2 linked regions of the Canis lupus familiaris genome follow. The protein of the gene in region 1 purifies or fractionates together with the protein of each later gene. This does not show direct contact. Links are inferred from orthologs where the notes say so. Each region holds a gene or a part of one and is shown on either strand. Other genes may lie near its edges.

Region 1 (15,905 bases):
CATTGGGCTCCCAGCATGGAGCCTGTTTCTCCCTCTGCCGGTGTCTTTGCCTCTCTCTCTCTCTAGGTCTTTCATGAATAAATAAATAAAATCTTTAAAAAGCAAAGGAGTGTTTTTGGAGAGTACGTAATTTGCAGTGATGCTGCTGTTCTATCTGTAAAGTGGAATACTATTCAGCAATAAAAGGTATGAATTACTGTAACAAGACGGAGAAATCTGAAAATAATTATGCTGAGTAAAGAAATCAGACTAAAAGAAATCCCACTATGTACTGTTTGATTCCATTTATATAAAAACCTAGAAAATGCAAATTACAATGACAAAACAGATCAGTAGTTGCCTGGGGGTGGGGACAAGAAGAGAGAAATGGGTAGGATAAATTACAAAGGAACATAAAGAAACTTCTGGGAGTGACAGATTTATACGTTCATTATTTTGATTGTGGTGATTATTTCACAAATGTATACATATATGAAAACATATCAAACCAAACACTTCAAGTATATGCTATGCCCTGCATGCCAATTATATCTCAATAAAGTTAATTTTAACTTGGATTTTTCTTTTTTGTTTTTGTTGTTGTTTTAAGTAGGCTCTATACCTGATGTGGAGCTTTCACTCACAACCCTGAGTTCAAGAGTTGCATGCTCCACCAACTAAGCCGGTGAGGAGCCCCTTAATAAAGCTGATTTTTAAAAAGACGCCACTAAGAAAATGAAAAGACAAGCCCCAAAGTCAGAGACCAGGAGAAAATATTTGTAAATCATATATTTGAAAAAAGACCTGTATCCAGGATACACAGAGTTCTTGTAACTCAGTAATTAGACAACTAATGACCAAATTTAAAAGTTGGGCATAAAAACCGAATGTGCATTTCAACTAAGAAAATATAAGGGACACCTTATAAACATATGTTATATACATAAGAGATATATACTACATCCATAGTCATTAAAGAAATGCAAATTAAAACCACAGTGAGATAGCACTACCTACTTACTAGAACGATTATAAAAAAGACAGGTGTTGGCAAGGCTGTGGAGACACTGAACCTCTCACACACTGCTCAATGGAATGGAAAATGGTGTACCCACTTTTTAGGCTGGCAGCATCTTAAAGTTAAACTTACACCCACCACATGACTCAGCAATTCAACTCACAGGCATCTACTCAAGAGAAAGGCAAACATATGTCCACACAAAGACTTGTTTGAGAATGATCAGCATTATTCATAATAGTCAAAAGGCGGCAACAATCCAAATGATCATGAATAGATGAACAAGAAGTATATCCACACAATAAAATACTACTCAGTAATCAAGAGGAACCACCAATACATTTTACAACACGGATGAACCTCAAAAATACTACAGTTAAGTGGAATCAAATGAAACCAAATAATACCTCTAACCAAAACTCACCCAATATGAAAATATCAAATGGTTTAATAACTAATAATAAAAACGTTTAATTTATAGTTTAAAACTTCCCCAAAAAGAAAACTCCAGGCCCAGATGATTTCACTAAAGAACTGAACCAAACATTTAAAGAATGGACATCCAAATCTAAATAATCTGTTCCAGAAAACTGAACACTTCCCAATTCATTTTATGAAGCCAGTATCATTTTTATGTCAAAACCCGCCAAACACAGTTCAAAAAAGAAAAACTATAGGCCAGTACTTCTCCTGAACATAAAAAAAAAAATCCTGAACAATCTTAACAAATTGAAACCAAGTGAGATTTATCCAAGGCTGACTCAATATTTGAAAAGCAATCAACATAACCCACCATTTTGAAGCTAAAGAAGGAAAAACATTAACTGATGCAGAAAGAGCAAGTGATAAAATTTAACAGCCATTCATGATTTAAAAATATATATATATATCTAAACAGGGTGCCTGGGTGGCTCAGTCAGTTGAGCGTCCAGCTCTTTATCTCAGCTCAGGTCTTGAACTCAGGGTCATGAGTTTAAACTCCACATTGGGCTCCACACTGGGCATGAAGCCTACTTTATTTTTTTTTTTAAGATTTTATTTATTTATTCATGAGAGAGACAGAGAGAGAGAGAGGCAGAGATGCAGGCAGAGGGAGAAGCAGGCTCCCTGTGGAGAGCCCAAAGGGGGACTCGATCCCAGGACCCCAGGATCATGACCTGAGCCCAAGGTAGATACTCAACCACTGAGCCACCCAGGTGCCCCTGAAGCCTACTTTAAAAAAAAAAAAAAAGTCTCTAAGCAAACTACTCTAAGCAAACTAGAACGTATAAAACGCTGATGAAAAAATCAAGATCTAAGGGGATCCCTGGGTGGCTCAGCGGTTTCACGCCTGCCTTTGGCCCAGGGCGCGATCCTGGAGTCCCGGGATCGAGTCCCGCATTGGGCTCCCAGCATGGAGCCTGCTTCTCCCTCTGCCTGTGTCTCTCTCTGCCTCTCTCTCTCTCTCTCTCTATCATAAATAAATAAATCTTTTTAAAAAAATCAAGATCTAAAAAATAGAGATATGTACTATATTTGTAAATTGGAAGATTTAACATAGTAGAGCTATGCAGAGTATAACCTCAAACTGACGAACAGGTTTAACATAATTCCTATCAAGATTCCAGGAAGATCTTTTGTAGACATAAACAGGCTCATTCTAAAATTTATATGGAAAGGCAAAAGAACTAGAATACTTAAAAAACAATTTTGAAAAAGAATAAAGTGGGAGAGATCAGCCTGCTGGAACCCAAGACTTACTATCTAGCTATCAAAAACGAGATTCTGTGGTATTGGTGGAGGGAGAGACACAGAAATAGATCAATGCGTTAGGAAGAGCACCCAAAAATAAACCCACACATGTATATCCAAGTGATTTTTTTAAAAGATTTTTTTATTTATTTACTAGAGAGAGAGAGAGAGAGAGAAACAGGCAGAGGGAGAAGCAGGCTCCATGCAGGGAGCCCAACGCGGGTCTGGATCCCAGGTTTCCAGGATCACGCCCTGGGTGGAAGGCGGCGCTAAACCACTAAGCCACCGGGGCTGCCCTACCCAAGTGATTTTTGACAAGGATATGAAAACCATTCAGTGGAGAAAGAGTAAACTTTTCAAAAATGGTGCTGGGGCAACTGGATTATCCATAGGCAAAATAATGAACCTCAATCTATATTTCACAGATTTTAAGAAATGGGGGCACCGGGGTAGTGCAGTCGGTTGAGCAACTGACACTTGGTTTCAGCTGGGGTCGTGAGATCAAGCACCATTTTTGGGTCCCACACTCAGCATGGAATCTGCTTAAGGCTCTCTCTCTCTCCATCTTTCTCTGCCCCTACCCCAGCATGTGTGTGTGCTCTCTTTCTCTCTTTCTAAATAAATAAATAAATAAATAAATAAATAAATAAATAAATAAATAAATAAAATCTTTTTTACAAAATTAACTCAAAACATATTGTGGAGTTTACTTAAGATTTTATTTTTAAGTAACCTCTACACCCATCAGGGGCTCAAACTCACAACCCTGAGATCAAGAGTTGCACACTCTACTAAGCCAGCCAGGGATCCTTGGATTGTGGATTTAAATATAAAACTTTTCACAGAAGACAATGGCAAAAATCTTTACGACCTAGAGCAAGGTTGAGAATTCTTACAGCACCAAAAGCACAAGCTATATTTTTTAAATATCAAGAGACTACACTTGATCAAAATTAAAGACTTTCTGCTCTGTGAAAGATCACCAGAAGAGGATGAAAAGACAAGCTAAAGATTAGGAGAGGGATCCCTGGGTGGCACAGCGGTTTGGCGCCTGCCTTTGGCCCGGGGCGCGATCCTGGAGACCCAGGATCGAATCCCACATCGGGCTCCCGGTGCATGGAGCCTGCTTCTCCCTCTACCTGTGTCTCTGCCTCTCTCTCTCTGTGTGTGACTATCATAAATTAAAAAAAAAAAAAAAGATGAGGAGAAAATACTTGCAAGCAAGATTATCTGACAAATGGCTTATATTTTGAATACATAAAGAAATCTCAAAACTCAATGGCTAAACATGACCCAACAATCCAACTAGAAAATGGACACGTGACATGAAAAGAGATCTCAGGAGGCTTATCTATATGGTGAACAAGCTTAGAAGAAGCTGTGTGATGTCACCAGCTATTGATGAAATGCAATCAAGACCAAAATAATGGATTGTTACATACCTATTAAAACAGCTAGTATAAAAAAGTGCCAACATCAAATGCTGGGGTGGGGAGAAACTCCCTCTCTCACACTTTGCTAGTGGGAATATAAATCCATTCTAGAAAAGAGTGTAGCAGTTTCTTATAAAACCAAACACACATTTACACGATTACACCGTATGTTGTAGCAGTTGCAATCCTGGACGTTTATCCCACAGAAATGAAAACTTCTATCCACACAAAAACGTCTACACAAATTCTCAGAGTGGCTTTTTATGTAATAGTCAACAACTGAAAACACAGCCCAAATGTAAAGCTTTAGTAAGTGACAGAACAAACTGGTACCTCGTACTGTGGAATACCACCCAGCAATAGAAAGGGCAAACATGGATGCAGGGAATAACCCAATCTGTGGAGTGAAAAAAGCCAACCTCAAAAAACCTATATGATAGATTTCCATACCAGAACTAAAGCCCTGGAGAACAGAGTAGTAGATCAGTGTCTACCCCACTTAGGGACCAGGGACTGACTACAAAGGTGTAGCAACTATAAAGGGAGCACTAGACAGCTCCTGCTTGTGATGGGACAGTTCTCCATCTTGACTGTGGTGGTGGTGACACACATCTGTACACAAGATAAGACAGCACAGCACCACATGTACACCCAAATGCATGCAAAGTTCTGTGATCTGAATAAGGTCTCAAGGGTGTACTGATGTCAATTTCCTGGTTTTGCTATTATAATCTAGGTACATGAGATGTTACCACTAGGAGAAGCTGGAACAAGGCTACGGAACCCCTCTGTTACCTTTTTTTTTTTTTTTACAATTTCCTGGGAGTCTATAATTATTTCAAAATAAAACATTTCAAAATAGACTTTTTTTTTAAAGGATCACATATTGTGTAGCATGTATTAAATGTCCAGAAAAGGCAATATAGAGGCAGAAAACATCAGTGACAGCCTGCAACTAGAGGGTAGAAGCAGTGACACTGAACAGGCAGGAAGGAACTTTCTGAGGTGATAGAAATGCTCTAAAATGAAATTGCAGCAATGGTTACACGATCTTTTTGTGATTTTTACTAAAAAAACAATGAACTGTACATTACAATGGATGAATTTTATGGTATATAAAATATAACTTAATAAAGCTGATTTTCTTTAATGAAGCTGATTTTTTAAAAAGCAATATTAACATAGTTATACCAGAATTATCCAAAGGCCTCCTCAAGTAATCTTACCTGAGACTCCTTTAAGGCTTGCTTTCCCCACCAAATTGGGTTGGTATCAACGACGATAACTAAAAGATTCAATTCATCTTCTGAAAATATTAACAAAAAATAAAAACATTAACCTCATGAAACCATAGGCAAACCAACATCCCAATTTGTAAATTATAACCACAGCAAGAACCACCGCATGCCTTTAGATGTTTACCATCCTATAATCCTGAAATTAACCAAAGGCCAAGTGCTTTTTTTTTTTTTTTTTTTAATTTTTATTTATTTATGATAGTCACACAGAGAGAAAGAGAGAGAGGCAGAGACATAGGCAGAGGGAGAAGCAGGCTCCATGCACCGGGAGCCCGATGTGGGATTCGATCCCGAATCTCCAGGATCAAGCCCTGGGCCAAAGGCAGGCGCCAAACCACTGCGCCACCCAGGGATCCCGGCCAAGTGCTTTTAATGACTGAAAGCTCTCTGGGCCCTCAGCAGGCTCTTGCTTGCTTTCTGTACCACCACATCTTTCGTGCACTAGAATGTAAGCTCCGGGGCGGGGGCGGGGGGCGGGGGGAGGATCTTGTCTGTCTTATCATTGCTTATCTTCTGCTCCTGGTACAACCACCCAGCATGAGGTAGATGCTCAAAAAATACCTATTAAATGCACCCAAATATTCACATTTTAAATGCAGTCAAGGACAGAATGCACGGACTAGCCAGTTAATATTCAACAGCAGAATTTTAGGGACACAAGGAGGCTGAAGGGAGACACAGGAATAAGTCTAGCCTCAAGCCCATCAAACCACCTTGCAGCAAGGCCAATGGTGATCAGGAACCACTTTTTAAAAGGTGAAAACCAAAGAGAGAAAAGCAATTGCTATGTAAAGATTTTACTGTGAAAAGGAATAGACTACTCTCCAAAGTTAGACACAACTGTACAGGCTAACAACACATTAATTCATTCAACAAACATTTACGCTAAATACCAGTGTTAGAAGCTGGGGATACTGGGTTCAAGCCCTCAAGGAGTCTAAATTCTAACTGAGGTGACAGATATACGAACCTATAAGCACAGCTGTTAAGAAAAACCCAGAATGCTCCTTTAATAGCAAAAAGCAATAATGTATTTCCTGCCCCCACACCTTCCTTCCTGCAGTCCCACCTCCTACATCAGATAATCCCCACTCCATCGTAGATTTGTTCTCAAATCCAAATCCTATGTCCTCTACAAAGCACCAAACCAATGCTACTTTTTTTCTTCCAAAAATCCTCCCCAGGATTTCCAACAGGTCCTGGCTCCCCAACCTGAGAATAGCTGTCTGCATCAGCATATGTAATCCTATAATCCCATTTCATGCTGACAACAAACTACTGATGGAAATACTACTGTCATCTTTCATCAATTATGACAGGGACTCTCTCTTTATCAGTTGCTGAAATCAGGATGGTGTCTTATAATTAAGACTAGCAGCATGTCTCTTAGTGGCACACTAAACAAAAACAGATCTCATAATTGATACTGTCTTAGATAACTTAGATGACACAAATATGGCATTCTTATTTTCAAATGAAAGTAACTTGCTCTAAGTCACATGGCTTGCTAGCAAGCGGCAAAACTCCCTGCTATGGAGCCAGATCTACTTGACTATAAAGACTGGCTTTTCTTTTTTTTTTTTTTTTTTCAAGATTTATAATTTTTATTTATTTATGATAGTCACAGAAAGAGAGAGAGAGAGGCAGAGACACAGGCAGAGGGAGAAGCAGGCTCCATGCACCGGGAGCCCGACGTGGGATTCGATCCTGGGTCTCCAGGATCGCGCCCTGGGCCAAAGGAGGCGCCAAACCGCTGCGCCACCCAGGGATCCCTGGCTTTTCAATAACCCATTGTCCACTTCTGATCCTCTTAGTATGAATCATCTCATTTTACAGTTAGTTGTCTTTCTGATCTCTCTTGCCAGCTCTGCTAAAACTAGTCCACTAGACTGTGGCCTCATTACAGAAAGAGGATTTTTGCGAATCCTGGGATGAAATAACAAGTGCAAATCACACACACACACACACACAAAAAGTGCAAATCACACACACAAAAATGCCTAACACAGAAGCAGCATTTAATAACTGTCTTTCACTCCTCTACCCACAAGCCCACAATCCTTTGGCCTTATTCTCCATGAGCTCCACCCCACAACTCTAGGGTCAGCCAGCCCTTGCTACTGCCCAGAAGCCTGAGAAAAAAATAAAGTATTGCCTAATAGGGGAGATGAGTACCCACACACACGGACTGCCTGGTCAACTTCCTTCTTTGAGTCTCTACACCATCATTTGTAGACAAGGCCCATGCCAGGCCTGCCTCTCTCAGGACTGTGGTATGTATTGAAAAAGAAGTGATCTCCCTATTTCCACTCTTGCTCCCTTATCCACACCGCAGCCAAAGTGATCTTTTAAAATTATGCAATTCTGGGGATCCCTGGGTGGCTCAGCGGTTTGGCGCCTGCCTTTGGCCCAAGGCATGATCCTGGAGTCCTGGGATCGAATCCCACATCGGGCTCCCGGCATGGAGCCTGCTCCTCCCTCCTCCCTCTCTCTCTCTCTCTCTATGTCTATCATAAGTAAAAAAATAAATAAATCTTTAAAAAAATAAAATAAAAAAATAAAATTATGCAATTCTTTAAAATTAATTAATTAATTAATTAAATTATGCAATTCTTTGCTTAAGACCCTACAATGGTTTCATACTACACTTAAAGTTCAACCTCTTTTTTCACCACCCACAAGGGCCATGCATCTGCCTAGCTTCTGACCTCATTCCTTTAGCTCACTTCACTCCCACCACCCTGGTCTCTTTTTTCTTTAAGACATCAAGCTAGGGGCACCTGGCTGGCTCAATTGGTGAAGCATCTGCCTTCAGCTCAGGTCATGATCTCAGGGTCCTAACATTCAGCCCCATATTGGGCTCCCTGCTCAGTGGGGAGCCTGTTTCTCCCTCTCCCTCTGTCCCTCTCCCTGCTCATATTCATCCTCGCTCTTGCTCAACATCTAATAAAGAAAATTTTTTTAAAAATCAGGCTCAAGATGCCTGGGTGGCTCAGTTGGTTAAGCTCTGCCTTCAGCTCAAGTCATGATCTCAGGGTTCTGGGATCCAGCGGCGCATGTGTCTCCCTGCTCCGCAGGGAGTCTGCTTCTCCCTCTCCCTCACCCCCGCTCCCCGCTCACGGGTGCGCGCACTCTCTCTCAAATAAATGAAATCTTAAAAAAAAAAAAAAAAAAAGACAGCAGGCTCTATAGCTGGTAGTTTAATGTATGAATGAAAGTCTCTCCATCTTCTTCTACCCTCAAGTTCGCCATTTCTTAGTGTAATGTAACGACTCAACTCGCCACAGCGCCTTTGCACACTCACTGGAGACTCACTCTCAGTACCTGGACTCTTATCTAAACGTAGCTCCTCCTTGGTCATCCCCTAATGACAGTACTGCAGCATCCCAGTATATTGTCTTCACAGCTCTTGTCACCCTTCGAAAGTATTCTTATTTACTTAACTACTGTCTGCCTCGCCCACTGGACTGCAGCCTCCACGAAGGCCCTGACTGCCATGGTCTCTGCTGTATTCCCCAGCGCATACAACAACGCTGGCACACCGGAGACCATTCAAAACTATTTATTGAATAAAATAACACATCTGCTACTCCTCTAAAGACCAGACAGGTTGCCCCAGCCCCCCAAATAATGCTCCAGCTCGGTGGTCCTGCCCAGTCCCGGGGTGGGGGTCCCTCCCCGCACACCCCTCACCGTCTGACACCATGGCGGCCAGGATCCCCCAACGCAGAGGCAGCGAGCCGTCAAAAGCTCCTCCCGGATCCTGCACACCCCGACTTCCGGCGCAGCCGAGTGACGCAAGAGCGGCTTGACGCGAGCCGCGCGCCGTACCCAGGGCCCCGGCCCCAGGGCGCCGGAAGTGGAGCGCGGAGACGCGCGGCGTGCTGGCAGTCCCTGTGGCCGCGAGTCCCCGCGGCGGTGGGACCCGCTCCAGCAGCGCGGGCTGTCCGGGTCCCCTCGGGCTGTGCGATCCAGAGGGCGCCATGGACGACAAGGGTAAGTCGTAATGGATGGGCTTGCTGGAACTGAAGCGGAGCCGCGCAGGGGTCCCCCCACCTGGCACGCCCGGGCGGGGCCCTGCGAGAAATCCGTTTGCAAGTTTAGGCTGCAGGGCTGTATTTGCTGCTTCCAGTCGCAGCTCAGTCCCTCCCGCTGCCCCTGTCTCCAGGGGATGGGTCTTCAGGGTATCCCCAGACCTTCCTCTCCCGCCGCTTTCCAACGCCCACCTCCAAAAAAGGGAGACTTAGACTAGGTGTGCGCGTCTCCGCGGTTGTGATTCCCCGCCTTCTTGGATTTGGTACTAGAATTTTTTTAAAGACGTTTTAGATGCGTTCATCTGATTATCAGGATGTTTCATTAAGTGAAACACAAGGGCAAACTGACTTATATTTCTCATTTAAAAGAAATAAGAGTGGGATGGGCTGCTGCATATACATGTGTATGTGTAAGTGGGTGAACAGGCTAGAATTGGCATCGACTGTCTGGACAGGTGGAGGGTAAGTTGATAAAGTGGTTGACTCTGGGATTCTCCTAGGACTTGTAGTCAAGGATTAGAGGGAGGATGACCTTCTGTTATCATGGGGTGGTGCTTAAATTTTATGCTCTTTGTGCACGGATAGGTTTTTCCAAAAAAATGAGAAAGACAGGGATGCCTGGGTGGCTCAGCAGTTGAGCGTCTGCCTTCGTCTCAGGGCATGATCCCAGGATCTGGGATCAAGTCCCACATCAGGCTCCCTGCATGGAGCCTGCTTCTCCCTCTGCCTGTGTCTCTGCCTCTCTCTCTGTGTCTCTCATGAGTAAATAAATCTTTTTTAAAGAGTGAGAAAGACAGCTCGTAAATACTAAAGTGGTGTCATCTCTATTCCTATCAACATTTATAACGCCCGTGAAGCCAAACACCCTGAAAAGAAAGTATTTTTTTTTAATAGTTTGCTTCTGGGGTGCCTAGGTGGCTCAGTCGGTTCACTAAATGTCTGTCTTCAGCTCAGATCATGATCTCAGGGTGCTGAGATCGAGCCCGGCGTCAGGCTCCCCACTCAGCTGGAATCTGCTTCTCTCTCTCTCCCCCTCCCACCCCACTCCATGTGTGCTCTCTCTCAAATAAATAAAAATATTTTAAAAAAATAGATAAATAAAATCAGTTTGCTTGTTAAGGTCAGCAGTCATTGAAAAGCTCTCTGGTCTTACATCCTACTAAATGAATTTGATTAATCACTTTTTTCTCCCTCCCCAGAGCTAATTGAATACTTCAAGTCTCAGATGAAAGAAGATCCTGACATGGCCTCAGCAGTAGCTGCCATCCGGACTTTGCTGGAGTTCTTGAAGAGAGATAAAGGTGAAGAGAGTGATATTTGAACACTCTGGGTGTTAGGGAAGACCTCTAGTAACTGTCAGAAGTGTAGGAAGTAAGACTGTGTCTGGCGCTTGTAAGGTAATGCAGCTCCAAGTCCAGCTTCTCCTTCATGTCAGTCTTCCTTTTAACTTGGAAAGAGCCCACTGGTTATCATTAAATGAGTCCCCTTTCATAAGTGAGATACACTTTGAATCAAGAGTGACCATGTTATATCAAGTTAACCATGAAGCTTAAATTATAGCAATAGTTCAGCTTTGCAAGTTTTTATGCAGCTTCTGACTTATGCCAGAATTTGTGCAGTTGCTACAGAGTATCCCAGAATTCTAGTATTCATGTCATTCATTGGGATTGCCTACTAGTTCAGGCATCCTAAATGTAAGTTTGTTGGTAGAGCATGACATCATTTATAAGCAAAATAACAACAATAGTAATAGTAATAATAATGCTTCCTTTAATTCGAAGGGTTGGCCTAAAGCCATGGTGTCTTCCCACTGTACCTACAATAACACCCAAATACCTGAACCTTGCCTACACCACCTCACAGACCTCACCTTGCCACTTCCTCTTCATTTCCTCCCACGCCGTCCCTCACTAAACTGTGTGTCAACCCCGGTGGCCTCTCTGTCATATCAAGTTTGTTTCCATCTCAGGATCTTTGTGTTGTAGTCTACACCTACACCCTTCCTACTGGATCTTTATGTGGCTGGATCATTTTTTACCCAGGTCTCAGTTTAAATGGCCTCCACTCAGAGGCCATCCCTGTTAGCTTTCTAAAGTAGCCCCTTACTTCTCAACATGCTGCTGCTTTCTTTCCTCAATCAGTCTGTAACTTGTGTATTTCTTTGTGTGCTTGGTTTTTGCCACTAGAAAGAGAGTTCTGTCAGAGCAGGGACCCTGTCTGTCTGCTCGCTGATCTGCCACTGCCATAGAGGATGCATTCAGTAAACACTGGTTGAACAAATGAAATGTTTGCATCACATACCCACCAAGGGGCTGTGATGATAAACTGAACATTACATTCCTCATGTGATCAATCCAGGGGAGACGATCCAGGGCCTGCGAGCCAATCTTACCAGTGCCATAGGAACCCTGTGTGGTGTGGACTCCTCCGTGGCCGTGTCCTCTGGTGGGAAGCTCTTCCTGCGTTTCATCAGCCTTACTTCCCTGGAATACTCTGTAAGCCCTGCCTTCCTTGGGTTACCTTTCTACTTCTTTGTTCGGCTGCTTTACCTGGATCTCAGTTCCTCCACATTTTTCTCTTTTCTTCTTAGGATTACTCTAAATGTAAAAAGATCATGATAGAGCGAGGAGAACTTTTTCTCAGGAGAACATCCCTATCAAGAAATAAAATTGCAGATCTCTGCCATACTTTCATCAAAGATGGGGCGGTGAGTAGATTTTCTTAGGTGCAGTAATTGGGAGCAGAGACTTTGGACTTAGACTCCTGGGGTAAAATCTCTCCTCTGCCACTTACTTGCTGTGTCACCTTGGACAAGTTACTTAACCTCTATGTGCTGTAGTTTTCTCATCTGTTAAATAAAGGTAACAACAGCACCCACCTCATCAGGTTGTGGGAGGAGGTAATGAGATGACCTAAGGACCCTATACTATGCCTGGCACACAGTAAGCACTAAAGAAATGTGTAGATGTTATTACAGAGTCTATCATATTAAACAGGCAGGGGCGCGCCTGGCTAGCTCGGTCAGAAGAGTGGTGACTCTTGATCTCTGGGGTCATGAGTTCGAGCCCCACATTGGGTGTAGAGATTACTTAAAAATAATAAATAAACTTTAAATAAAATAAACAGGAAGAGAAAAACCACTGGGATAGCATGGATTCTTGGTTTAATAAGATGTCTTTACCAAAGAAGTATTTTCATTACTGGTTACGTACTAAACCCAAATCACCACCTAACAGCTGTTGGCACTGGTTCATACTGTCTTCCATACTGTCTTCCAGGGAAGATTAGCACTGTGTTGGGGTGTTGTCTTTAATTTCATCTCTAGTGCTAATTCAGAGATGCAGAGCTGCCAAGTGTTTGTAGGTGAAGACGGGAGCTGCAGGTTAAGCCAGTCCGCCAGCAAAGGGGCAGTAAAACCTTTATGATATCTCTTCCATGGCGTCCCTCTTCTGCCACCCCAGCCTCAGACCATAAAATTATTTACTTGCATTTTTGACTCTGAAATCTTGTCCTGCTTTATTATCCCCTTCCCAACCTTTGAAGTGTGTTATTCAATAAATGATGTAATAGTTGTGAGTGGAATCTGTACAAAAGCCAGTTGCAAACAAAGTTGCTTTGGGGCAAATGGAGGCAAGATTAGGATTGCCTCTTGCTAAGGCCCCTCTGTTTCCACCAAACTCCTACACTCAGCTTTCTGCGGGTTTCATTTGCTCTGGTGTGTTTGAACCTGTTAATACCTACCTGCATCAGCACTGACTTTAGGCTAAATTCAGAACAGAGCTGCCCACATTTAAACCTACAGATGAACCACCTTGGGATCTCATTCAGGGACGTTCTGATTCAGCAGGTCTGAGGTGGGGCTGAGAATATGCATTGCTAACAAGCCCCTGGGGGAGGCCCAGAAAGGAACTAAGGTGCTCTGTGCATCCATTTTGCATTATGTAGAACCATTTAGTCTGTTCATTAGAACAAAGGTGAAGTGAGTGTCTGCATATTGTATCCAGCCCACAGATAGGTTGTGTTTACCCCAAATGGTATTTATTAATTTTTAAAAATTAAGTAGCCAACCCTTATGTCTTGGATTTTCAAGAAAATATCAGATGCTCTGGCAGTTGTGAGACCACATGACAGCAGCTGGAACTTGGCCTCTCCTCTTTGCTGCTAGCCCTGCCTGAGCTGCTGCATTTCTTTATGCAGCCTGCCTAATGCCTGTGGACCTGAGTGTGCAAACCATGTCTTAGAAATGGGAAAGCCAGCTCAAAGGAACTAAACAGAGCCTTCGGACAGAAAGGCTTTTGTATCTTGTGAGCAACACCACATGGAGATTCTACTCCCGGATTTGCTGTAGGAAGAGGTGACCCACAATAGATGTGCCATCGAGGATCTCCTTCCTGATGCCAGTTGGTTTGTGAGAAGGCATACAGAGAAGCCTTGGGGTACTGGGAGCCTGCGTTAGCAGGGCACAGCGCAGGTGATTGCTGCTAAGCTTGCCCTTTTGACAGAGGTTTCTTGGTCCACAGAGAATATTAACTCACGCCTACTCCAGAGTGGTCCTGAGAGTTTTGGAGGCAGCCGTGGCGGCCAAGAAGCGTTTCAGTGTGTACATTACAGAGTCACAGCCTGATTTATCAGGGCAAGTATCATTCCATTTGGTTCTGGGCCCAGCAGTCATTCTAAAGTGCAAACTGAGGATTAAAACCTGTGTGGGAAGCCCCAAAACATGTCCCCGAGTGGCCAGTTACCCAGCATTGCCTTTGGGTGTCTTCCTGCCCCTGAAGGAAGATCCCTGTGAATTGGCAGTAGCCACAGTACAGGATCTAGGCTGTTTACTTAGTAGTTAAATCAGAGGAACAGCAACAGATACATCAGTGGAAAGATTTTTATCAAGGACTAGATAATTCACATATCCATCTAGAAGATAGTGAAAGGGGGATCCCTGGGTGGCTCAGCGGTTTAGCACCTGCCTTTGGGGCAGGGTGTGATCTTTGAGTCCCGGGATCGAGTCCCACATCGGGCTCCCTACATGGAGCCTGCTTCTCTCTCTGCCTGTGTCTCTGCTTCTCTCTCTCTCTCATGAATAAATAAAATCTTTAAAAAAAAAACAGAAGATAATGAAAGAAGAAGCTTTATCCTTTTTTTCTGAATTTGGTTCTCTTACCCAGATTCCCCAAGAATATTGTTTTCCTGAAATACCTATTTTCTTCTAAAGAACCCAAATTCTTATTTCTTTCATCCAGAGTCTTGGGATGTGCCCCTTAATCCCTATGAACTGAGTTTCAAGCTAATTTGATTGACCACTGTCCAAATTAAGTGACTCATCATACATCACTATGGGACTCTTCAACTTTTTCTGTTCTCAAAATGTCACTTTCCAGTAAGAAAATGGCCAAAGCTCTCTGCCACCTCAACGTCCCTGTCACTGTGGTCCTAGATGCTGCTGTTGGGTAAGTTCCCAACTTCCCTGAGCACGGTTGCTTTTCCTCACCCACTCCCAGGTTTGCCTTGGAGCAGGGTTTCCAGATTGATAAAACCTCACTGGGTAATGTCCTGCCTTTGAATTGATGGCTGCATTAATCCAGCAAGCTCATTATAAGGTCTTAAGAGTGTATGCAGGACACAAGCTGTAGGGTGTTGCAGAGAATGAGAGTCGTTTATGTAGTTTTATGGTGCATTTTAAGAGCACGATGCAAAAGTTGGGTTAGGATCAGCACACTCCCTCTTTACAGAAAGGCATGGGCTAGCTATCCTCAGTGGCACTCTGGGATTCTGTGACTCACTCATGCAACTTTGCTCCTAAAACTGAGGACAAGTGTTCAGAGAATTGTCAGTGTACCTCACAAAAGAAAACAGGACTGAAAGTCTCTCAGAAAAACACAAACACACAGAAAGCAGCTGATAAGGAAATTAAGAATGCATTCAGAAGAAAACATTTTGAAGAATTCCCTGAATTGTTCATTTTCAAAGGTAAATTGGCCTTTACCTTAGCTGAAAGATTCCTGAATTACATAATGTTCTTTTCCAACTTGAGATCACAACAGGCTTTTAAATTTTTGTTTTGTTTGTATTGAAGTAGATCAGAAAACAGTATGTACCACAAGTAGCAAGGATCACATCAGGTCATGAAATCCTCATTATCAGTCACCACACCTGTATACATGTGCCAGCAGCCATGGGGGAGCGCCTCTGTCTGTGTCTCTCCTGAATAAGTAAAATATTAAAAAAAAAAAATTTTTTTTTTTGCTTTAATTTTTTTAGCTATATCATGGAGAAAGTGGATCTGGTCATCGTTGGTGCTGAAGGAGTTGTTGAAAACGGGGGGATTATCAACAAGGTAAGAACGTCAGTTCTGTAGAGCTCCTTGCCCCTGACGTGGACCCGGGCTGCTGACCCCCATCTTGGCATCCACTCTTCC
Region 2 (15,680 bases), on another chromosome or scaffold:
ACTCCAGGATCACGTCCTGGGCCAAAGGCAGGCTGCGCCACCCAGGGATCCCCTTCTCCCCCCAATCCTACCGCACCTTCCAAGCCTAGAGCTTTGCACCTCTGGGCTCGCAGTTCCTTCCGCCTCCAAGGCTTAATTCCAGTCCCACTCAACTTCATGGGTGTTCCTGGATCCGCCCCAATTCCACTCTAATGATCAGTAGGGTTTCAATAAATGCTGATAGGCCGAATGAACGAAGAAATGAAATCATAAAATCGTAACTTTCATCCCCACATCATTTAAGCAGAAAGACTGTGAAACTATGAAGTCAGACAGATCAGGCTCCAGGACCAGTTCTTCCCTTAGTAGCTGGGTGGGAGGTTCACCCTTCTGAGAGTTCAAGAAATGAATGAATGAATGAATGAATGAACGAATGATAAGCTGTTCTTGCAGAAATGTGTGAAGAATTAAATGACTCAACGCTCGTATCGTCCCCTGGCCACCATCAGCGCTCAACAGAACTACTACTCTCCCTCCTATACCAGGTTCTGTATTTAGGTGGACCGTGAGTTCCCTGAGGGACGGGGATGACAGACTGGGTTCCGAGCTCCCCAAGGTGCCGGGTCACATTTAAGCGACTAGAATGTAGATGGAGGACTACAATTGTTAATGCTCCGGGCGAGGCTGATTGCATACTTAATGGACCTGGCCCCTTCGCAGAGACCCTAAGTCCTAGCATCCCTCAAGAACCTCCGCTTGTTCCCGTACAAATGAAGGCCTACTATACCTGCAAATCGAGTCTGAGGTCCTTAGGACTGCAACCCACCCGGCGCCTCGGCCGGCGGGGCACTCACTACTAGCTCCTCCCCGCTCACACCCCAGGCGGGGCGGCGCCTACGGGCCACGCCTGCGCACTGCTCTCTCCTTAGTCTCCACCCCCCTTCCCTTCTTTTCTCCTTCGCGTTTCGAGAGCCGGGCCCTTTTTGTCCCCTACTGCGAGCGGTGTCAGTTTCCGTGCGGAAGTGGCGGCCGTGAGGGAAGATGGCGGCGAACGTGCCTGCTGCAGTGGCTAGCCGGGCCAACAAGCGCAGCGGCCCCGGGCCGGGAGGCGGCGGCGGCGGAGGCGGTGGGGGAGTCAAAGGGGCGGAGGAGGAACCGCCGCCGCCCCTGCAAGCAGTTCTGGTGGCCGATGGCTTCAATCGCCGCTTCTTCCCCATCTCCAAGGACCAGCCTCGGGTGAGCGCCGCGCGGGAGCAGCCGGAGAGCCCGAAGGTGGCGGGGCTAGAGCAGGTTATTCTTTCGGCTGCCTAGTGAGGAGTGCTCTGGCGGATGGGCTCTCGTAGCACTGGCCACCTCAGGTTTGGAAGGCATGCAGAGGGCTAAATGTAGAAGCAGCTCTTGTGAGAAGCCTTCACACGGGGATGCAGTGCCTCAGAGGGAGGCCGTAATGCCTTTAATTATGCTGTGGAAGAGGAGATCCTTGGGTGAGTGGGAACAGCACCTCCTTTTGCCTGCAAAAGGGAGGCCGTATGCTTAAAAATAGAGCAGACCGGTTAACAGTCTGATCCCATAGTAACAGCTGTCTTGAGTCTCGATGGGTGTGCTTTTTTTTTTTTTTTTCTTTCCAGGTTTTAATGACAGCCGATGCCATCTGTCAAAAGGAGGACAGAACAGGTTTAGTGGTTGGTTGCCAGCAGACCCCGTGTTGTCTAGATGCTGGGGGAGCTGGACGGAGCTAGTTTTAGGGATTGCTGGGTCACTCAGAAGTCCCCAGTTCAGTCAGACGGGGAGCTGGATTAGGTTCGTGAAAAATCCTAACTCCCACTCCTCCCCAAAAACACCTAATAATGGTTGTTCATTTGGGACAAGTGATTGGAGTGGGTAGCCTCTGACTTCCCTTAGCAAGAGGTCAAGGGAGGAAATTTTATGGAGAAAATGGTTTTATCACTGCTCAAGTTTCTGGAGATATGATTGATTTTTAGCATTGTCCTTCGCCGAGGTGGCCTGCTGTTCTGTAGCAGCCATGTCCTGTGCTAAGCAAGTAGATTCCATGCTTTACTAGATTCTCATGCCATGAGCATCAAAAGCAGGGGCCTGATTACTTTAACTTGCGAAGATAAAGTAAAACACTGGTAGGGAAGTGAAAATTGTGCTTAAGAGGAGGAAAGAGTAGTATCCAGAGGGCCTTCGTCAATTCAAGACTTCAGACTTTTTTCTTCTCCTCCCCTCCAGGTCCTCTTGCCCCTGGCCAATGTGGCACTAATCGACTACACTCTGGAATTTCTGACTGCCACGGGTGTACAGGAAACCTTTGTCTTTTGTTGCTGGAAAGCTGCTCAAATCAAGGAACACTTACTGTAAGGCTCTGCAATTTTTCTTTCCATGTTTTGCCATTTTTTCCAGTTTTCTTAGGATGGTTGTAGCTAAATAAGGGGCAATTGTGAGGGGGAAAGATATGTCTGTTTGGATTCCATCATATTCTCTTCACTTATCAGAAGGTGAGCAGCTGGGGCAGCCTGGTGGCTCAGCAGTTTAGTGCCACCTACAGCCCAGGGCCTGATCCTGGGGTCCCAGTATCGAGTTCCACATCGGGCTCCCTGCATGGAGCCTACTTCTCCCTCTGCCTGTGTCTCTGCCTCTCTCTCTCTCTCTCTCTCTCTGTCTCTCATGAATAAATAAATAAAATCTTTAAAAAAAAAAAAAAAAAGAAGAAGAAGAAGGTGAGCAGCTAAAGTTGTAACAAAGATTAGAGAATAATATTTGGATTTTTTCTGAATCTCACTTATAAAGTTTGGTCCTATAGGTTTTGCTTTTATTTAATGGCTCCAGTATGGAAGTTATAATACTAACATCTTTCTTTTTCCACTGAGCTTCTAGATATTGAGCTCTTCCTCATATTTGTATTCCCAGTGCCTAGCTTAGTATAAAGCACATAATAAATATTTAACAAATGTTTGATGAAATCTTCTTGAAAAAGAGTGCGTATCAGGATTTATGGAAGTTCAGGGAAAAAAGACTAGAATATTAGCTTGATGTCCTTTGGACAGTTCCTAAATTTGGTTTGGACTTTGGATGGAGAGAAGGGGCATGGAAAGTGTGTTCCCAGGATATTTTGTATACTCTAAATCTCAGCAGGATTTTGAATGCAAATCCATGTTAGGGAACAGGTGTCAGGGTTTGGAGAAGAAATAACCATGTTTCTCTAACCCATAAAACAATACTGGTGACACAGGATGCTGAAACCATTAATTATAGTTTACAAATCTCTTTGAAGTAGAAAATGCTGGCAGGAACCCAAAAAAAGCTATAAAGAAGGCGTGTGAATGTTGAATGGGTGAGAAAAATAAGGAAGCACTACATGATCTTTATGCCTGATTTGCTCGTTCCCCTCATCCCCTTCATTTAGGAAATCCAAGTGGTGCCGCCCTACATCCCTCAATGTGGTTCGAATAATTACGTCAGAATTATATCGATCACTGGGGGATGTTCTCCGTGATGTTGATGCTAAGGCCTTGGTGCGCTCTGACTTCCTTCTGGTGTATGGGGATGTCATCTCAAACATCAATATTACCAGAGCTCTGGAAGAACACAGGTCAGGATGGGAAGATGGTAGGGACAAAGGGTTTGTGACTAGCAGCAGAGCCCTAAGACTGCTATTTTGCTGCTCTCTCCCTCCTATCCTTTATAGATTGAGGCGGAAGCTAGAAAAAAATGTATCTGTCATGACAATGATCTTCAAAGAGTCATCCCCTAGCCACCCAACTCGTTGCCATGAGGATAATGTGGTAGTGGCTGTGGATAGTACCACAAACCGGGTTCTCCATTTCCAGAAGACCCAAGGCCTTCGACGGTTTTCTTTTCCTCTGGTGTGTGGGTATCTGGGGTCCTTGAAGTGGGAAAGTGACAGGCTTCAGCAAGAGACAAGTTAAAGTCCTGGGTGGGCACCTGGGTGACTCAGTCGGTTAAGCATCTGCCTTCGGCTCAGGGCATGATCCCAGGGTCCTTGGATCCTCCTTGCTTAGCGGGAAGCCTGCTTCTCCCTCTGCCCCTCACCCTGTGCTCTCCCTCTCAAATAAATTTTTAAAATCTTTAAAAGAATAAAGTCCTATACCTTTTCCCCACAGAGTTTGTTCCAGGGCAGTGGAGATGGAGTAGAGATTCGCTATGATTTACTGGACTGTCACATCAGCATCTGCTCTCCTCAGGTGAGCTTTTCAGGGCCAGGGCTGCACATCCAAAGAGTAGAACTCTGAGTTCCACAGTAAAAAGTCACTGTCATCCTGACTCCAGTATCCTATTGGGAACTTTTTTGGGATTCTGGTCCTTGTCCAACCATCATAGGATCTGATAGATCTGTAGGGACTTATTTTTGTTTCCAGAGTATAGCACTCACCTTAGCCTCACCAAACGTCCTCCCACAGGTGGCTCAACTCTTTACAGACAACTTTGACTACCAAACTCGAGATGACTTTGTGCGAGGCCTGTTAGTGAATGAGGAGGTAAGAAAAGGCTCCCAGGCCTCTTTAGAAGAGGTCTGTGGTATTATCCCATGCTGATAACTTTTGGTCCCCTTTTGTGTTTTATTGAACCTTAGGATGAGGGAAAAGAGCTGCAAGAGAGAGGGAATGAAACCCAAAGAAAAATCTTGCCCATTTGGCTATGACATTGAGGGGGAGAGGGTAACTTAAGTTTAGAAAAGAGTTGTACCTGAGTGTGTTCTTCCTCTTTTACTTGCTTCGGTGACCTCCCTTTCCTTCTCCCTATTCAGATTCTAGGGAACCAGATCCACATGCACGTGACAACTAAGGAATATGGTGCCCGGGTCACCAACCTGCACATGTATGCGGCAGTTTGCGCTGATGTCATCCGCCGATGGGTCTACCCTCTCACTCCAGAGGCGAATTTCACTGACAGCACAACCCAGAGCTGCACTCATTCCCGGCATAACATTTACCGAGGGCCTGAGGTCAGCCTGGGCCATGGCAGCATCCTAGAGGAAAATGTGCTTCTGGGCTCTGGTACTGTCATTGGCAGCAATTGCTATATCACCAACAGTGTCATTGGCCCTGGCTGCCACATTGGTGAGCACAGGTGGGGAAGTCAGGATGATCTGGGAGCAGGAACCTAGGGGACCCCAGATAAGGACACAGAAGGATAGTCCCTGAGAATAAGGAATAAGAGTGTCTGCTTTAATAAAGGAAGGAATGGGGATGTGAAATTTGTGGCCTATGGGCCTCTTATTGGGTGACTCTTCACATTCTAGAGTACCCTATTCACATTCAGGACCAAGTGGATACTTAACATGCAATAATAATATCTGTTTGGTGCACTGTAGTTTACAAAGGGCTTTGGCATACATTGTTTCATTTATCTTCACAAGGTTTTATTTATCTCTAGTTTATAGCCAAGTAAACAGGCTCAGAGGTTGTCTCCCTCAGGGTCATAGCTAATGAGAGGCAGTGCTAGGACTTGAATCTAAGTATTCTAAGTCCAGTGTTCTTTTTATTCAATCAAAGCTGTCTGGTTGGCTTCTTGGTAACTGACTTTGGTTATAAGAATGTGATACTTCTAATGGAACTGTCCCTTTAAAAAATGTACAAGGAGAGGGGCGCCTGGCTGGCTCAGTTGGTAGAGGGGTTGTGAGTTCAAGCTCCATGTTGGATGTAGAGATTACTTAAAAATAAGTCTTTAAAAAAATAAGTTAAAATGTATAAGAAGAGCTAGAGAGCTTTACTTCTACTTCTAGACATAGATATGATTCTAATAAGGTTTTTGAGCTGAAAGAGATCCTAGATATCTTGAAGGTTCTTAGGTTCTTAAGTTCAGTATACAGTCTTAAGTCCGGTATATAGTGATTATTGTAAACCTTGTGGAGGATGGTCCTGCTAAGCACTATTCTATTTTCAGGCTGGAATATAGAGAGGGAGAGGGTGTTTCTGATGGTTTGGGAGATAGAGTATCAGCTGGGTGGGAGCTGTGCTGTTACCAGTTAGCCCCATCCTCCAGGAATGGCTCTGATCTGGAACCCTGAGTGACCAGGAGTACTTCCTGTCCTGAGCCAGGTGATAACGTGGTGCTGGACCAGGCCTACCTGTGGCAGGGTGTCCAAGTGGCTGCTGGAGCACAGATTCATCAGTCTCTGCTCTGTGACAATGCTGAAGTCAAGGAACAAGTTACACTGAAGCCACGCTGTGTCCTCACTTCCCAGGTGAGACCTGCTCCGTACTGCATGAAGACTCCAAATTGAGCCAGAGAGGCCTTATGTCCACCCATGATCCAACCTGAATTGAGAGTTCAAATTCAGCAGATTCATTTGTCTTCGAGTTAGCATAGTAAAAATAGTCGCTTTCATTATCAGGATGTATCTTTCCCCAACACATTAATGGAGCTGTGCCACCCACTCTTTTCGCATCCTCTAGGTGGTAGTGGGCCCAGACATCACGTTGCCTGAAGGCTCGGTGATCTCTTTGCACCCTCCAGATGCAGAGGAAGATGAGGATGATGGCCAGTTCAGTGATGATTCTGGGGCTAACCAAGAAAAGGAGAAAGTGAAGCTGAAAGGTGTGAGGCTAATCAGGTGTGGGGCATCTGTGTGTCTCTCTGTCCCATGAGAAAGCCAGTGTTTCCTCCTAGAGGGATTGTGTTTCTCTTGTGTGTTCATTAAAGATCAATGCCTTTGCCAGGTTATAATCCAGCAGAAGTTGGAGCTGCTGGCCAGGGCTACCTCTGGAAAGCTGAAGACCTAAACATAGAGGAGGAAGAGGAACTACATCAGAATCTATGGGGTAAGTTAGGCTTTATTCCTGTAACCTCCCGCCTCTAAGTCCGATTTTTTTTTTTTTTTAAGATTTTTATTTATTTATTCATGAGAGACAGAGAGAGAGAGAGAGAGAGGCAAAGACACAGGCAGAGGGAGAAGCAGGCTCCATGCAGGGAGCCTGACGTGGGACTGGATCCCAAGTCTCCAGGATCAGGCCCTGGACTGAAGGCAGCACTAAACAGCTGAGCCACCCGGGCTGCCCCTAAGTCCGAATATTTTGAAGAAAAGTGTATACTTCAGAATGTGACTACTTATTAATTACTTTATTCATTCAGACAGGGCAGATATGTTGCTCTCTGTCAACAGCTCTTTCTTTACTTTTCTTTTTTCTCACCTATATGGGTTCTCAGGACTCACGATCAACATGGAAGAAGAGAGTGAAACTGAAAGTGAGCAGAGTATGGATTCTGAGGAACTAGACAGCCGAGCAGGCTCCCCACAGATGGATGACATCAAAGGTGATGGGCCAGGGGAGCAGTGTGCTAGGACAAAAGAAAAAACCTTCAGTTCATTCTCTGTCTGGGTCAACTAGCCAAAGACTTGTGTTTCTCCCAGAAGGGTTTGGTATAAAGTCAGAACTAGAGAACTTAAAGCATTCTGGAGTGACATATTGGTTCATGAACTTATTCTTGCTTTGATTTTAGTATTCCAGAATGAAGTACTGGGAACACTACAGCGGGGCAAGGAGGAGAACATTTCTTGTGACAATCTAGTCCTAGAGATCAACTCTCTCAAGTAAGAGCAGCCCTCCCTCTTCTCTCCTCTGGGTAATCCCAGGCAGGTAGAGGTTCTCTCCTGTTTCTTTCCCAAATAAGAACCAATTCCTTTAACATCCCAAATGGACAAAGCCAGTAGCATTTGGAACAAGGAGAGCATTAGGTTCTGGCCTCAGCACAGACTTCTCTCTTCCAAAGCCTTCTCCTTGCATGTTGTTCCATCCGCCTTCTTCCCCAGTGTCCTACCAAAGTCATAGTCCTACAGCATGCTGAAATGGCCAGTGAAGGCTCTGGTGTTACCCCTCCACCCCCATCTCCCCACAGGTATGCCTACAACATAAGCCTAAAGGAGGTGATGCAGGTACTGAGCCGCGTGGTCCTGGAGTTCCCCCTGCAACAAATGGATTCCCTGCTGGACCCAAACCGTTACTGTTCCCTGCTGCTTCCTGTGAGCAAAGATTGGGGCTGAGTACAAGGGATTGGCTGGAGGCAAATCCATGTCCTTGCCATGTTTCACTTTAAGGGAAATAGGGAGTAGAAGGTCTTATTGTGGGATTTTTTTACTTGTGGTTCCTTTCTCCTTGCCTCTGGATGCAGATTGGGTAGTAGAGCAGGCTTGGCTGGTCCAGAGCAATCAAGTTAGGTTCATACTGAGTGCTCTTTGAAACTCCAGGATTCAGACCATTACTAGACCCCAAAGGTATGCCCAGAATAGACCTAGACTTTTATATTCTCTGACTGAAATGATTTGACCCAGAATGAGATCAACCTGTAGGCTGGTAATAGGTATTTTGAGGCAGCCTGTAGGATCTGACTCCCTTTCACTTTCCCTGGGAGATATTTTCTTTTTCTGCCAACCTTGACCTCCAGCAGCTCCCAAGTCCCTCTGACATGATTCCTCAGGCCTGTATCATCTCCCCTCTTGTTTTCCTATATCCTAAAAGTCCCATATTTCCAATATTGACTTTCTTTGCTATCCGGATGTAGGTGCATGCTCAGGAATATATTGCAGCTCCCTTCTCCTTTCTTCCATAGCTGCTTAAGGCCTGGAGCCCTGTTTTTAGGAACTACATAAAGCGTGCAGCTGATCATTTGGAAGCATTGGCAGCCATTGAGGACTTCTTCCTGGAGCATGAAGCTCTTAGTACTTCCATGGCCAAGGTGAATACCACCTCAAGCCCCATTGCCCTGGATTTCTTTTGAAACAGGCCTTGGCTACCTCCACGGAGACACAAAACAGGCTAACATGAATCCAGTATGGGATTTGAGTAGTAGCACCATCCACCCCTATTATTGTGCTGATTGCTGCAATAATACAGCTTGGAGTCAGGCTAGTAAGGCAGCCTTTTGGAGATTATCTTGGAGACCCGACAATAATTCCAGAGGTTATACCAGTCCCAGTTGCAGAATGAAAAGCTCATTTTTATTTGTTTTAAGAGCAACTGCTTGGTGTTTTAAAGGAAGCTGATAGTCTGGTAGAGAGAAGTGCTAAGATCTTGTCCCCTCTTCCTCTGTTATATCTTGCTGGATTCTGCAAGGTCCCTGAGATCTCTTCTGGCCTTCGGCAGGTACTCATGGCTTTCTACCAGCTGGAGATCCTGGCTGAGGAAACAATCCTGAGTTGGTTCAGCCAAAAGGATATGACTGACAAGGGCCGGCAGTTGCGCAAGAACCAACAGGTGAGTCAGGCTGCCCTCCTGTCACCAAGGCAGTTGTCTGGTCCCATGGTTCATAGGGAATGAAAGGCCTAGATTCTTTTCCAGCCTCTGTAGCTGTTAAAGCTACTTATATCCCCCTCCCTCAGTAGCTTTCCACTCTGCTTCCTTACAGCTGCAGAGGTTCATCCAGTGGCTAAAAGAGGCAGAAGAGGAGTCATCCGAAGATGACTGAAGTTGCACTGTCTGCTTCTCTTGGTGTAGTTGATAGCCCTCCTGGCTTCTGGTTGCCGAAGGATGAATGACTGCCATCTAAGCTGAGGCTTAAAGGAGCAGAGGCTGGAACTACAGTATTCGTCCTACCACCAGCAACCATGTGCCTCCCATCCTGCCTGGGGACTTGGGAAAAGGAAAGTTGGGCTGGAACAAAGCTCTGCCTAAAAAGGAGCAAGGCAGGCTCCGCAGTTAGAGGAAGTCTAGAGGAACAATTTTGTGCTCTGGCCTTCCCTCAGGGAACAGCAGAGAGCAGCTGGCCCTTTCTGCTGCTTGTATTTGTTAATATTAAAAAAGAGACAGGGGGATGTATTTGGTTTCTCTCCAACTATGACTGATCAGCTCTTGATGTAGGTGACCAGAAAGTTCTGAACCTGGCAGCATTTCCCGAACACCTGGGGGAGAGGGAGAAGTGGGGTGTTACGGCCACTAGGTGGTACTGTGGTCCCTTGCTAATTGACCTTTGCCGTGGCTCATAGGGAATGAAAGGCCTAGATTCTTTTCCAGCCTCTGTGGAACAGTCCGTGGTCCTGGAGTGATGTGCCTGAGGCTATTTCCATAGAGAGTTCTAGTCCCAACACTTTCCTGCCGGAGGATGATGATCCAAGCATATGTAAAGTCCGTTACACTCCCTCACAGGGTCCAACTGCCACTCCCTCACATGCTTTGTCCAGTTGATCCAGTACTACTACCAGGGAAGCTGGGATGTTCAGATAAGGAAAATTTGCTTAAGGTATCAAGATTCTTAAAAGGAGTAAAGCTAAGGACTTGAATCTCGTGATCAAAAATTCTTTCTGTTTCAACATATTCAGTGTCACAGTGAAAAAAAATTGCCTCCAGAGGCAAATATAATGCCAAGCCAGCAATAGGTATCCTAAGAACAGAGGAAGATCCTATGAAATGGGCTTTCCCCTAATATTGAGAGAGTGCTTACCATATGGTAAGAATTTTGCTAAATACTTTTCATGTGTTTAGTTAGCCTTCACAGTAGATGAGGTAGGCCTTATCCCCATTTTCAGATGAGGAGCCTAAAGTTCAGAGATGTCCCATAACTGGTCGTTGATTGAGCCATGCTGGAGTTCACCACTGTGCTGTATAGTCTCCTTTAACCTCATGAGACCTGCCTTTCTGTCTCATCTTTCTTGGCTTTCTTGTCCTAAAACTCATATCCTATTGACACTTAAACCATGGCAGATGTTACTGTTAATAAGTGGCCCTCCTTGACATCACAGATAAAATGGTTGCCATTGTTCATTTTAGTTGGGTAGAAAAGAGTAAGCTAAGGAAAATGATACTGAAATGTATTCAGGTGTGAAGGGCATTACTGAGTATTTCTAAAGTATTTCTAGAGTATTTCTTTATCTCATCTAATTTAGGATTTGGCTTAATTTACTTTTCTTATTCGGTAAATCTCAGTTTGTGCTTTTCAGATACAGGACCTAGAACCTACAGGGGATATGAAGGTTTTGGCATGGCCTACTAGGAGCAATTAAATACAAATAACTTATAGGGCACTTCTGATTTGTACCTAATGGGTGGCAGAAATCAGAAGTGGCCTATAGAACTTTTTAGAAGGAAGAGATTCCTTCTAGTGGAGTAATTGAGGAGACTTACAGGATTATGACACCTGAGTTGCCTAAAAGTAGAGGTAGAAGGGGACTTTAAAAGCAAGCAAAGGATTTCCATATAAATATGGTACACTAAACATGTGGGGTTTTTTACTTTTTCCAAAAGCCCATTCAAATGCTAGTAAAGCAATCTTCAAAAAAAGTTCATGACTCAATAAGGAAAACCAGAGGTGATCCCAATGATTGAGAGACACTGACATTTTGGGAAATGAAAAATAAATGAAAGAGTCAAAGTTGACTTAACAGAGCAGAATAAAATGGGTTCTATCTGCTGAGGTGACTAACAAGAAGCAAACCCAATGTGCCCTTTTATTTATTTATTTATTTAAGATTTTATTCTTGAGAGAGAGTGAGGCAGAGACACAGGCAGAGGGAGAAGAATCTCCCTTCATGCAGGGAGCCTAATGTGAGACTCCATCCCGGGTCTCCAGGATCACGGCCTGGGCTGAAGGCACGCTAAACTGCTGAGCCACCCGGGCTGCCCCCAATGTGCTCTTTAAAACCCAGAATAGGTGTAGCAGAGCAGATAAGGATTGGTTGCTTACAACAGGATTGGGTGGAGAGGAATCCGAGATCTATATGAGAGAAGGTCTCCCAGGTCTACCTCATCTAATTTAGCCAGGTGATTACCCCCTACTCTCCTGCAAGAAGTGGGAGAATTAGTCTCTGGAGAAATGATAGGGAAGAAATTATCAAAGAAATATTTATGAAGGTTTCCTAAACTCAAAGGTATTGGGTTTTCAGACTGACAAGAGTTCATGAGCCTAGTAGAATGAGTGAAATAGCCCCATGAAATTTCAGAGCCTCTGGACAAGAGCAGACATGGGGATGGGGGTTATCAGCTAGATTGGAAATGAGGGATTAAGTATATGAGGGCTCTGAATATCAACAGAGGCAAAAACAAACTGAAAAATGGAGAAAGCCTTTAAATACTTTTATTTTTTTGTTTCCTCAAAACAAAAAGGCATCTTTACCCCCACTTGATTACCCTACAGTGAAATCTGTTAGTTAATAAGCCCTGTACACGGGGGTACCTGGCTGGCTCAGTTGGTGGAGTTGGGACTCTTGATCTTGGGGTTGTGAGTTGAAGCCCCACTTTGAGTAGAGAGATTACTTTTAAAAAATTTTTTTAATTAAAAAAAAAAAAAGCCCTGAACAAAGACAGAGCTTCCAATTAGCTGCTTAGTATCTCGCTCTTAAATGTGAATAGACTGGGCCGCCCCGGTGGCACAGCGGTTTAGCGCCGCCTGCAGCCCGGGGTGTGATCTCCGGAGGATCTCAATGCGGAATAGAGTCCCGCATCAGGCTTCCTGCATGGAGCCTGTTTGTGTGTGTGTGTGTGTCTCTCTCTCTCTCTCTCTCTGAATAAATAAATAAATAAATAAATATTTTAAAAATATATTTTAAATAAGTAAATAAATGTGAATAGACTGCCAATGGCCATCAAAAATTTGAGGAAACTTCCAACATGAAAGGTGAAGACCAAAACAAAACTGAAATCAAGGAAACAATGAGAAAATGGGGAGCTTTTTTAAAACCTCAGGGTGGGGGGAGCTATAATTATTCTCAAAACTCAAAGAGGGAAGATATTTTATCTATGAAGAAAGTTCTATGAAAAGGGAGGACTAGATGACAAGGCTTTTAGAAATTTAAATAAATTATTTCCTACTGATAATTTGAGGACTAGACAACTGAATAGGATGGAAACTATATCCATCCTTATGTCGTTGAATTTTTGAATTGTGAACATTTTACCTATCCAATTGGATAGAAGGAAGGTTGGAGATAATACGAAAATCTCACAAAAGTGCAGTTATTTAAAAATAAGGGGGGAGAGGGGCACGTGGTTGGCTCAGTGGTTGAGCATCTGCCTTCCACTCAGGTTGTGATCCGGGGTCCTAAGATCAAGTCCCACATCGGGCTCCCAGTAGAGAGCCTGCTTCTCCCTCTGCTTATGTCTGCCTCTCTCTGTGTGTCTCTCATGAATAAATAAAATATTTTTTTAAAAATAAGAGGGAATATATGGTAAAGGAGAAAAATAAGGATCAATCTAGAAGGTCCAACATCTAACGGGTCGTAAAAAGAACAGGGAAAATGGTAGTGATGTTATTAAATAATTCAAGGAAATACTGTTGAATTTCTAGATGGAAAGATCTCACCAAGTGCCTAGCATAGTAATTGAGCACCAAGATGCATCACCATGAAATTTTAGAGCCCCAGGAATAAAGAGAACTTACTAAAGATTTCCAGAGAGTAAAAACAAGCTATGTGCAAAACGTTAGGAAAAATAGAGATCAAACTGACTGCTTAATAGCAACACTGGATGCTGGAAGACAATGTAGTGATACCTTCAAAATTTTGAAGGAAAATTACTTGGCAGTCATTTTCAGATTTGCAAGTTCTTGAAAGGGGTTTTCTTTCCCGTGCTTCCAAAGTAAGCCACCATAGGTGTGCAAATGAATAAAATATCCGGGAAACAGGGATCCAACATCGTGGAGGTAAAGGGAGTTCTGAGGAGGATGCTGTCCCAGGATGACAGCTGTGCATAGGCGGAGACAGCCAATAGTGCAGACCAGAGCAAGAGAATGGAAGGCCCTAGGGGGGAAAATGGTTGGATTATCGAATATATTTGGCTGTGTAAGCAAAATATGCATGGAAAACTATTAGATTATAAGACTTAATGGTAGATATACTATATGAAAAAGCAGAAGTATGGGGGATCCCTGGGTGGCGCAGCAGTTTGGTGGCTGCCTTTGGCCCAGGGCGTGATCCTGGAGACCCGGGATCCAATCCCACGTCGGGCTCCCGGTGCATGGAGCCTGCTTCTCCCTCTGCCTATGTCTCTGCCTCTCTCTCTCTCTGTGTGTGACTATCATAAATAAATTTTTAAAATTTTTAAAAAAAGAAAAAGCAGAAGTAAAGCAATGATTAATGCCAGGAGAAACAAAAAGTTGTAAAAAGGAAGCATTTACTCATAGGCAAAATGTCAATACTAAAAACTATATTCGCTTAACCAAAAGTATCATTTTACTATTTTAAAAGGTTAGGGGGAGGTGGAAGAAAGATAAATCCATCAATCAAATTTGGAAATAAATATGCAATGTCCAGAATGCATAAATCAACAAATAGTATGAGGCTTAAAAATATGTATATACTGGCATGGTATGGAAAATGGAACAGAGAACTGCTGTTAAGAACTTTATTAATATGCACATATATTTAATTAAAAAAGTAAAGAGAAGGGTATGAAATGAAAATACACAAGGTATGTGCAGAGGCTAGCAAATAGGTTGATTTGCTGAAGTAAAAAATTTAGCCAGGATATAATGAAAAAATAGCTGTAGAGGTAGGTAGTTTAGGTTATGGAGAGTTTTGAATATTGTTCTAAAAATATTTGGAAAGCACTGGGGAGTGTGGAGATGTTTCTGAGCAGGAGAGTCTGGAAGAGGTACTTACTTTGAAAATGCTAATGTGGCAACAGTGTATAAAATGGAGGAGGAGGAGCCCACACTTGTTCCTGTGGCCTTAAAGGACCTATGTGGTCTGGTCCCAGCCTACCTCTCCAGCCTCATTCTACCACTATCACTATAGTCACAATGGCCTTCTTGTTCTTCAGATTGAGAGTTCATTCTTGCCTTGAGCCTTTATACTTGGCTGTGCCCTCTGCCTGGAATGCTTTTTCCCCCACACCAGATCTTCTTCTAGCTGCTTTTTTCCTTTTTTTTTTTTTTTTTTTTTAAGATTTTACTTATTTCAGAGAGAGAAGTAGACTCCCGGCTGACCAGGGAGCCCTACGGGCTTGAGGCTCCATCCTAGGACCCTGAGATCATGATCGTGACTTGAAAGGTAGATTGGTTAAGGGACCTAGCCACCCAGGTGCTCCTCTTTTTCCATTTTATGCCTTCGCTCAAATGGAAGAGGCTTTCTCTAATCACCCATGGTTCTCTTCTCCTTTTTACTACCACATCACTCCATTTTATCTTTTTCATAGCGTTTGTCACTCTGAAGTTATTTATTTCAAGCTTGTGTGTCTCCTTTCAGATGAGTGAAAGTCCAGACTGAGGTCAGCCTTATCTGTCTTGTCTTCACTTTATCCCCTGCAGCATGCCTTGCACCTTAGTGGGCACTCACTTATTAAATGAATTAAAAGCTAAGAGGTGGGATGCCTGGGTGGCTCAGGGGTTGAGCATCTGCCTTCCGCTCACGTAGGAATCCTGGGTCCTGGGATAGAGTCCTGCCTGCATCAGGCTCCCAGTGCGGAGCCTGCTTCTCCCCCTGCCTGTGTCTGTGCCTCTCTGTGTGTCTGTCATGAATAAATAAAATCTAAATAAGTAAATAGATAGATATATCAGATAGATAGCTAAGAGGTGAGGAGATCTATCAGGGATAGATTATACCTAATTCTGGTTTGAGACTTACCGTCCCAGTCATGCACTCATTTTCATTCTTGTGCTCATTTAGCCTCAGTCCATTTATGAAGCCACTGACTGCTCTGCACCTAGAAATTGCAGTGAGGCTAGAGGGAATCAGAACTTGATTCTGTTCTATTCTCAAGGAACTTAATTTGGAAGACTCAGTGACAGCAGCTATGTTTTCCAACAGACCCTAA

The links.
Region 2: the proteins of EIF2B1 (region 1) and EIF2B5 purify together in Homo sapiens (affinity purification with mass spectrometry; 7 studies listed by BioGRID and IntAct, counting the BioPlex papers as one, with this or other methods). This does not show direct contact. The link is inferred for Canis lupus familiaris from reciprocal best matches to the Homo sapiens genes EIF2B1 and EIF2B5.

The regions. Positions count from the first base shown.
Region 1 is NC_049247.1:6,231,117-6,247,021, forward strand, and holds the start of EIF2B1 (translation initiation factor eIF-2B subunit alpha), read left to right. Parts: upstream 1-9,288; 5' UTR 9,289-9,442; coding exon 9,443-9,455; intron 9,456-10,692; coding exon 10,693-10,794; intron 10,795-11,851; coding exon 11,852-11,988; intron 11,989-12,083; coding exon 12,084-12,200; intron 12,201-14,013; coding exon 14,014-14,126; intron 14,127-14,868; coding exon 14,869-14,937; intron 14,938-15,748; coding exon 15,749-15,824; intron 15,825-15,905. Other genes in the region: GTF2H3 (general transcription factor IIH subunit 3), read right to left, coding at 5,388-5,467, 9,153-9,165.
Region 2 is NC_049255.1:17,208,849-17,224,528, forward strand, and holds EIF2B5 (translation initiation factor eIF-2B subunit epsilon), read left to right. Parts: upstream 1-967; 5' UTR 968-1,020; coding exon 1,021-1,215; intron 1,216-2,211; coding exon 2,212-2,336; intron 2,337-3,385; coding exon 3,386-3,571; intron 3,572-3,667; coding exon 3,668-3,845; intron 3,846-4,103; coding exon 4,104-4,184; intron 4,185-4,400; coding exon 4,401-4,478; intron 4,479-4,747; coding exon 4,748-5,060; intron 5,061-6,041; coding exon 6,042-6,187; intron 6,188-6,398; coding exon 6,399-6,540; intron 6,541-6,662; coding exon 6,663-6,764; intron 6,765-7,149; coding exon 7,150-7,257; intron 7,258-7,443; coding exon 7,444-7,534; intron 7,535-7,839; coding exon 7,840-7,963; intron 7,964-8,550; coding exon 8,551-8,676; intron 8,677-9,083; coding exon 9,084-9,194; intron 9,195-9,345; coding exon 9,346-9,405; 3' UTR 9,406-10,216; downstream 10,217-15,680. UniProt on the Homo sapiens protein: Acts as a component of the translation initiation factor 2B (eIF2B) complex, which catalyzes the exchange of GDP for GTP on eukaryotic initiation factor 2 (eIF2) gamma subunit.